Linked DNA regions of Coturnix japonica. Each later gene encodes a partner of the first gene's protein in a complex. Links are inferred from orthologs where the notes say so. Each region holds a gene or a part of one and is shown in the gene's direction. Other genes may lie near its edges.

The links.
Region 2: the proteins of TACR1 (region 1) and TAC1 are in contact, whole or in part, in a cryo-EM structure (PDB 7P02), measured with the Homo sapiens proteins. The link is inferred for Coturnix japonica from reciprocal best matches to the Homo sapiens genes TACR1 and TAC1. Residues at the interface, in NP_001049.1 of Homo sapiens: Gln24, Phe25, Asn85, Asn89, Tyr92, Ala93, Asn96, Trp98, His108, Asn109, Ile113, Gln165, Met174, Arg177, Val179, Cys180, Met181, Ile182, His197, Val200, Phe264, Phe267, Phe268, Tyr278, Leu279, Ile283, Gln284, Tyr287, Met291; in NP_003173.1 of Homo sapiens: Lys60, Pro61, Gln62, Gln63, Phe64, Phe65, Gly66, Leu67, Met68.

Annotation. Positions count from the first base shown.
Region 1 is NC_029537.1:1,182,003-1,186,280, reverse strand, and holds the start of TACR1 (substance-P receptor), read left to right. Parts: upstream 1-1,298; 5' UTR 1,299-1,931; coding exon 1,932-2,332; intron 2,333-4,278. UniProt on the Homo sapiens protein: This is a receptor for the tachykinin neuropeptide substance P. It is probably associated with G proteins that activate a phosphatidylinositol-calcium second messenger system.
Region 2 is NC_029517.1:22,503,032-22,507,279, forward strand, and holds the start of TAC1 (protachykinin-1), read left to right. Parts: upstream 1-1,178; 5' UTR 1,179-1,297; intron 1,298-1,334; exon of another isoform or gene 1,335-1,377; intron 1,378-1,867; 5' UTR 1,868-1,882; coding exon 1,883-2,002; intron 2,003-2,080; coding exon 2,081-2,177; intron 2,178-2,713; coding exon 2,714-2,737; intron 2,738-4,182; coding exon 4,183-4,236; intron 4,237-4,248. UniProt on the Homo sapiens protein: Tachykinins are active peptides which excite neurons, evoke behavioral responses, are potent vasodilators and secretagogues, and contract (directly or indirectly) many smooth muscles.

The DNA of each region.
Region 1 (4,278 bases):
CTGCAATTAGAAAAACCTCCCCCTTAAGGGACATACCTCCCAGCTGCCCAGCCTGGCCATGCCATGACACACGTGCCCATCCGCAGCCTGCTTCAGGTTGCACTTCAGTTCCTCACATAGCAGCAGAACAGGGGAAAATAGGTGGTTCTTTCCAACAGGAATGTGCATAATGCATCACCTCTTTATTTCCAGTGAGAAAACGGTGGAGAAATGGGTGTGACGGCTCTGTGCCCTGCAATGGGGTGCTGTTAATCAGGTGGGGCACAGAGGGACTTGCTGGAATGGGAGAGGGTTTGCTGTGGTGCACTGAGGTGGCTGCTGAAGCTGTCCCCCATTGCCAGGGCCTCCCCTCCTTTGGGGTTTGGTCGTATTCACATTAATGCCCCAAAGCAGCGAAGGGAAAGGTTGGAAACAGTCGCTAGCAAACCTCCCCAAGCCGGCTGGCTGCTCAGCCGTCCCTCTGCCGCATTTTTAGGCAGTGCTGCCATCGAGCGGTCCGGATGCAAGAAGAGGGGACCCTCAGTGCAGCTCCGGCTCTAAGCTGAAATCCACCTCCTCGTTCGTCCGTCCCGCCGTTAAAAAGCTCCGTCTCACTTCAACAGCGGAGCCTGTGCCAAGAATTAAAGATTTTCGGAGTCCCTCCTGCTTGCTTCAGCTTACGAGCTGAGCATCCTCCCTACACACGAGCAGCAATGCCGTTCCCACTCCGAGGTTCGCAGTGTTGGTTTCCAGCGGTTCCCAGGTGATATCGGAGTCCGCAGCATCCTTTAGCAAAGCTCTGCTTCCAGAGGTGCTTTTTGTCTTCATTGCATCGGTGCATCCTAAGGGAAAACCATCGTTCCCAGCACACAGCGGTGCGCTTTGCGCCCACGCTCGGCCATAACACGATACTGGATGAGTAAGTTAAAATCAGCCCCGTCTGGTGGATGTCAGAAACCTGGACTGGGGGCAGAGAGCTCAGTGCCTGCAGATGAACCACGTACAAATGACAGCGGTAATTTTCGGAAGGATTTGCCACCCCCCGGGAGCTCTTTCCTTGCTTTGTATTAGGGAAGGGGCACAGAGCCGGACCGCCCCGTTAGCGCTGCTTTAGGCAAGAAAATCAAAGACCTCATTACGAAAGTCAAATATTTGGGTTGGGTTTTCGTTTTTCGTTGGTTGTGTGAAGCCGTTGGGATCGATCCCCCACCCCCGCCTGTCCACTGGCAGTACGGAAGCTCTGGGGTGAACGGGAGAGGCGAACGCAGCAGAGGGAGGTGAGGAGGGGGCGAGGGGCAGCTGGGGGGGGAGCGGGGGAGGGCTCTGGGCTCCCGGCTCCGCTCCCCGCTCTCAGGCACCGCCCGCGCCGCCTACAAAAGCAGCGGCAGCATCCGAGCTCCGGCTGCGCCCAGAGGGTCCCGGCCCCGCTCCAGCATCAGCCCGGACCGAACCGAAGCGACTGGAAGGTGGGGAACGCTGCCCGGCCGTGCTGCGTCCCTGCACAGCGAGAGGGGGCTGCCATCCCGACACGGCTGTGCTCTGCCATGGATACACACGCTGCTGCGGCTGCACCCAGAAGAGGAAAGGATCAGCACCCTGAATCAGCTGCGCCTGGAACCGGGAGGGTCCCAAACCCCGACGTGGCTGTGCTCTGAACCCGGAGGGTCCTGCGCCCCGATCTACCTTCGTGCCCCAAACCTTCTGCATGCCCTGAGCCAGCCGTGCCCTTATCCAGGACGGTGCTGTGCTCCAAAGCATTCTCACCCCTGAACCTGCTGCACCCAGAAGCATCCTGACCTCCAAACCCAGACTGCGCTGCTCCCCGAATCATCCTCATCCCAGAGAGTGCTGTGCCCTGAAGCATCCTCCCCACCGAACCTGCTGTACCCTAAACCCAAAGGGCTCTGAGCCCCGAAGCATCCTCGTGCCTGGTCTGGCAGTACCACGCTGTAATGAATGACACCCCGCCGCTGGAAGCGGAGCTGGAGCAGCGGAGGCTGCTCAATGCCTCCCTGAACGAGTCCTATGCCAACCAATTCATCCAGCCCCCGTGGCAGGTGGCCCTATGGGCCATTGCCTACACCCTCATCGTGGTGGTGTCGGTGGTGGGGAACGTGGTGGTGATGTGGATCATCTTGGCACACAAGAGGATGCGCACCGTCACCAATTACTTCTTGGTGAACCTGGCTTTTGCTGAAGCCTCCATGTCTGCCTTCAACACGGTGGTGAACTTCACTTACGCCATCCACAATGAATGGTACTACGGGCTGCTCTACTGCAAGTTTCACAACTTCTTCCCCATCGCTGCCGTCTTTGCCAGCATCTACTCCATGACAGCCATCGCCCTGGACAGGTGAGCACCCAACCCCTCCCTGCACCCTGTGCTGCTTCCCACATTGCCTCTGCCTGGACACTGTGCTCAGCTCCGCCTGATATCTGGCCAGGGAAAGCACTGCAATTCAAATGGAGCTCTGTTCAATAAAGGAGACTGAGATAGAATCCCTTTCCTTGACCTGTTTGCAGGTGGTTCAGGGAATCCTCTGTAGGGAATCCATTCTCAGCTCTGCCAAAAGAGCTCATAAAAAGGCTCTTGTAACCCATTAATGCATGTTGGTAGTGCATACAGGGCTTGCACTTCTGCCACTTTTATATCCTTTCCCTTCCCAGCTCATCTCCAGAGCAGTCCATTCCTTTTCCAACCTCCTCATTTAGCTCACTGCTTAGCACAGAATGGTCACGTCACTAAATCATGCCTGTTGGATGCACTGCGGGAGCCCTTTCCTGGTTCTTGATCTCAGGTGCTGGGGACCTCAGAGTGATGCTTAAACTGCATGTTGTTGCATTGCCTGCAGAGCCACAGAATTTCATAAAACCACCTGGATTTTATTACCGGGGAGTGAAAGGGGAGGGAAGTCCCATGGATGGCTCTTGCTGGGCTGCAGCCAGTACAAGTGAGCTGCTTTCTTCCCCAGCAGCTTTCTGGGGGTGCTGCTGGATGGCTGAGAGCAGCCAGCAGAACAGCATCCCATGTGTGTTCTGCCAAGGACAGAAGTTGGGCAAAGCCTGGCAGTCTGTGGTGGCACAGAGCAAAAAGTGAGGAGCGTGAGTTAGCCATGTGCTGAGGGTCATCCTCCAGGCACAGCTGGTGTGTAACACCCTCCAAAATCTTTAATGTATGTCTTTAATGCCTTTATACATTGGTGCTAGGGATGAACTAAGGCTCCCAAACAGCTCTGCAGTTCCCTCCTGGTTACCAGTGCTCCAGGCACGATGCATTTTCCAGTGCAATTGATTTCCTGAAGACAACTCTGCTGTGCAGAGCCTCTTTTTGTGCTCCTTCCCAGGCAGCAGAACACCTTCTGGCTGGGGATAAATGCAAACGGGGTGGGGGGTGGATTTGCACTATCATACACCAGCCTGATTTGGGTTGAAGTGTAAGTACTGCACAAACTAACACGGGCATTTCCCAACAAGAAATTGCAGCACTGCTACAGATAGTACAGTGACAGCTTGGGAAACAGAGCTGGAGATGGATGATGCTCTGGCTGTTAGGAACAGGCTCAGGTTTTGTTTGTCTCTGGAGTGGTTAGGAGCCTGCGAGCTGCTTCTCCCTGTGATGAATAAGATGCAGCTGAGAAGAAAACTATGGCAATAATAAAAAGGCTTTTGCTTGAAACTAGGACTGCATTTTTACCTGGAGCTGTTTCACACTGGGCACAACCACAATAAAATAAAATAAAACAAAGGTTAATCTTATCCAGAGACACAGAGTTCTGAACACTGCAACAATGGCAGGAAATGCAGGAGTTGGGGTTGGCAGCTTGAAGGTCTGCTCAGGAAAAACAGTGCCGCTGCCACGCAGCATCCTGCAGCAGTTGGGGCCAAGCAGCCCACTCTGGAACTGCACAGCACGGCCTTCATCATTGGGTGTGTCAGTGCCAGAGCACAACGTGTCCACTTCTGGCTTTGAACACTATGAATGCGTGCACTTCAAAGAGCCGTGAGATTCTGCTTTCTCCAGCTTCCCAGGAAAACTGGGAGCCTGTGTTGTATCCAAGCCACTTTGCATCCATATGTAGGGACTTCAGAGTGGGTTTTTTCCTATTTCCCCTGCAGTATCTGTGAGGAATGGGATGGAGCATCACTAAACAGCCAGCATCGTCCCTCTCCTTGGGACTCAGATTCATTGCTGAGCACTGCTACTCACCCACACTGCTGCAGGAGGGAAGGACCTCCTTGCTGCCAGGTGAGCAGAGCAGAAGGCAAAGATCCTGGGTTATGTGTGGAATCAGAGCCAGA
Region 2 (4,248 bases), on another chromosome or scaffold:
GCTATGGTTACATCCATTTTGATGAACTGCTGGATTACAGAAGAGAGGACTTGCCAGTTCAAACATATCATACTGATCATAGCTCAGACTCCTGGCTGATAGAACTGACTTCAGAGGAAGCTGGGAACTCCTGGTACTTCTGTAAAACACAAGGTCTTCAAGAGGAGTGTAGATGTGACACTGAGGGAAATGGGTTAGTGGGCATGGTGGATGGTTGGATTCAATGACCTTAGCAGTCTTTTACAACCTCAGTGATTCTCTGACACTCACAGGATTGTCAAGCCTAGTGTGATATACCAAACATAATGGACATGGTGGAGAGAGCTGGAGTTGGACTAGATGATGTTTGTGGTCTTTTCCAACTTTAATTATTCTATGGTTCTATGTTCCTCAGCCACTGAGTCGGGCAGCCCCCATTAGCTGTGGAGGAACTGCATCCTTCTTCCCTGATCTGCTGAGTCCTGGGGGCTACCCCAGTGTTGGGAAGAGGGTTCCCAACAGCACACCAGGCTGTGCTTTGGGAAATACTTTGGAAATTGGGGAGTGTTTCTGTTGAAGAGGGAGGCCTGGAGTTAGCAGTCAAGGTGCTGGGTCCCCAGTTGGCCCTACGATTACCTTCCAGTTAAGTGTCCTTGGAGAGGAGGTTTAGCACTTCAGCGGGAGCACCTTGCAGCGAGCAGAGGGACGGTATCAGGGAGCTGATTTCAGCACTCGAGAGATCTTTTCTTACTCAGAAGTACTGTAAGCTCCTGACAAACCGCACAGAGCGCCCGATGCTGTGCTATGGGATGGCCGCAGGTAGGGAGCACGTCCTGGAGAGGCAGGGAAAACGTTTGTCCCATCGGAGCGGCCAGAACCTGCGCACTGCTCCGTGCCCGTGTCCCCTCCTCTCCGGGGGCAACCCGGACCTGCACCGGGTCCCCGCGTCCCATCCCTACCCGCTGCTCGCCCTCCTTCAGCGGAGGTGCGGAGCGGCTCTCCCCTCGGGACGGGCTGAGGGGGAAGAGAAAAGCGGTGCCCTGTCCCTATACCAGCCCCCTATGCCCGCAGCCCGTGCCCGGTCCCTATATCCCCAGCCCCGGCCCCGGGCAGCCCCGGGAGGCGCGGCGGGAGCTGGGGGCGGGGGCTGCCGGCCGGGGCGGGGGCTGGCGCGGGGCTGGGACGATAAAAGCGGGGGTAATTGCATTTAGGCAAATGAGGCAGCCTCGGCCCTCCCCATCGCCAGGTCTATAAAGTGCGGAGCGCTCCCGCGGGCGGCCAATGCGCGGCGAGCAGCGCCCGGCTCCCGCTGCGAACGGTGCGTGTCCTTTCGTCCGTCTGTCTGTCCGTCAGTGTGTGCCTGCAGGCTGGAGGGTGCATGTCTGTGTGTTGGTGGGGGTACGTGCTTGTGGACTTCTATGGGTGTATGTCTGTATGATGTGTGGAGCTGCGTAGGAGAAGGAGTGCCTGCATGTGCTTGTGCGTCCACACCTGTGTGCTGCATGTGCAAGCCTGGCTTGGGGTGTATTTGGTGTGTGAGCATCCCTGGACAGAGTGTGTGTGGAGAGCTGAGTGTGCGTGCAGCTCAGGTGTGTGACAGGTGAGCTTATAACTGGGTGTACATGTACGTGGATAGGTGTGTGTGTGTATGTGAGGGTGTATCCAGCTGTGCACACATCTGTATGTGAAAGTGTGTGTCCATATAGCTCTGCCTTGGTCTGAGGATGGGTGCACCTCAATGTGTGTCTGTGTGCTGTGGTGCCCAGCTGCGGGGTGTATGCACACCCAGGGCTGCAAGTGTGTGTTTTTGTGTGTGTGATCTGTCCATGAGTGTGTACGTGTGTAGGTGTGCAGTGTACCCTGCAGGTGCTTACCCTGCACCCCACAGGACATCAAGGCGGCCATGAGGCTTCCGCTGGCTTTCACCGTGCTGCTGCTGGCCTCGGCACAGGCACTGGCTGACGAGATGTCCGCTCCCGATGACCTCAGCTACTGGGCAGACTGGGCTGACGGCGAGCAGAAGGTGAGCACTGAGGCTGAAGGGCTGGGTGGGTGCTGAGGGTGCTGGAGCTGTGCTGAGTGTTGCACTGTCACCCTGCAGGAGGAGCTGCCGCTGCCCCTGGAGCACTTCCTGCAGAGGATGGCAAGGAGACCTCGACCCCAGCAGTTCTTTGGCCTCATGGGCAAGCGGGATGCGGGTGAGCAGGGCAGGGCACCCCTGCATGCTTTGCCAGCACCCGGCCGCACTTCTCAGAGGTCCCCTTCCCTTCTCACACCTTATGTTTTTCTCCAGAGTTTCCCTGTTGATTGTTCAAGTTTAGTTTAGAGGTTTATAAGACAAACCCCCTCTCAGAAAGGAACGGCTTCAAGTTAAACCGCTGAGTACCCAGCAGTAAGGAGCGTGTTGGCATCTTGCAGGTCAGCCTGCGTGCCACTTGGTGCTCTGAGCATGGAAGCAGCTGCATGCACAGCTCCTTGAGCTGAGAGCTGCTCAGAGCCACCTGGCAGTGCATGGGTTTGTCTGACACAAGATTTTGTTGTCTCCTCAAAGAGAAATGCAACTGTAAACATCATCTTAATTTTCCTTGTGCCTCCGGAGTGTGCTTGGTGTAACTTCTGTATTTGATGCTTTAAAGTACTGCAGTAGCATCATATACATTTGCCTGGTTTTGGTCATTTATTTTTTTTCAATTACTCTTCCTTTTTTTTTCCTTTCCTTTCCACCTCCAACCAGGATATGGCCAGATCTCTCACAAAAGTAAGTTAAAAAAAAATGTAAATGTTTTAAATACTTATGTGAAGATACTCTGATGGAGAACAGCGCGTATCGGGGTGCAGGTGGCTGAGTTTAGCTGAGGAATGGCAGCAGCAGAGGTGGATCACTGCTCCACCCCACGGTCACGTCTCAAACCTGTACCCAATATAAGCCGCCACTCGCTGTGAGGTTTCAATCCACATTAAAGAGTGGATGCTGCAGCTCTGAATTTCTCAGGGGGCTCTATGAGCCTTTCTCAGAGGCGAGGCGGGCTTGCTGCCAGGCTCAGAGAGAAGCAATTAAGACAGCAAACTCTGAAAGATTAGAATTGCGAATTCCCAAATCCCTGAGAATGATTCCAGGGATAAGCGAGATGCCGTGAGGTGCTCCCTGTGCTGTCTGGGTGTGAGTCAGCCCCAATCGCAGCAGGGCTGGCTGCTGATCTGCCCTGCAAACAGGAGCAGCCAACACGAGCAGTACGTGTTCTTTGCTTTGTGTCTGTGCCACACCGAGTGGGAGGTGGTGTCAGCAGTGTGCTGTAACCTGCTTGTGCACAAGGACAGGTGTATTCTCTATAGGAGGATGCTTAGATAGGATATGGAAGAACCTAACCAGTTTAAAAATCATTTTCTTGCTTTATGAGAGCTCCTCTGCCCGCAGAGGTCAATAAGTGCTCTGTTCATCACTGGGATTATTTATTGGAAGACCAATTAAAGAGTCAAACACCCTCCTGGCTAAAGTAAAAAAGAACTGCAGCCTTCTGAAGCTGCTTCAGTGCCTGCGGGGGCTGAAATTGTTCCACTGGGCCAGTAGATGAAGTAGCCAGGCAAAATTCTTCCCAAAGAAAAATCTCTGTTTGCCTCAAAAGTCAGCTTAGAGAAAGAAGAATTGCTCCTTCTCCATCCTTACCTGAACTACAGCAGTTGCCACATCTGATACGTGCCAGAGGCCAAAAGCTGGAGTAATTTATCCTCTATAAATCCAGTGGCTTGAGTGCTAACGGAACAGGAAGGTAATAAATATTGCACAAATAGAGCCGGGCTGTCAGAATTAGACATGGCCAGACAGAATCCCACTGGTTCCATCTCTAGTAAAGCTCTGCCTGGTTGATGAGGAGGGTTTGACACCTGCAGGTAGAGTAGGTGCATCGTACAGATGAAAGCTCTGGCAGGACATTGCCTTTAACAAGGCTGACCAAAACTGTATTAGGAAAGGAGTAAGAATTAGTTATTGGCCGTTGATTTTCTGTTGTATTTCAACAAAGAAGTAACACTTGTCAATGTGAGTCAATAATCAGTGTTCGTTCTCTATGCTCTGAGAGTGACATGAAAAATAAGTAGGTGAGATGAATGGTTTTGAAGTCTGAGTCTTTTTTCCTTGTGAGAACACGTCTTAAGAGCTTGCCTATTTAAAATGCATTAAAACACCCCCAAATATACTTTTTTCAGGGCATAAAACAGACTCTTTTGTTGGACTTATGGGCAAAAGATCTTTAAATTCAGGTATGTATGCAA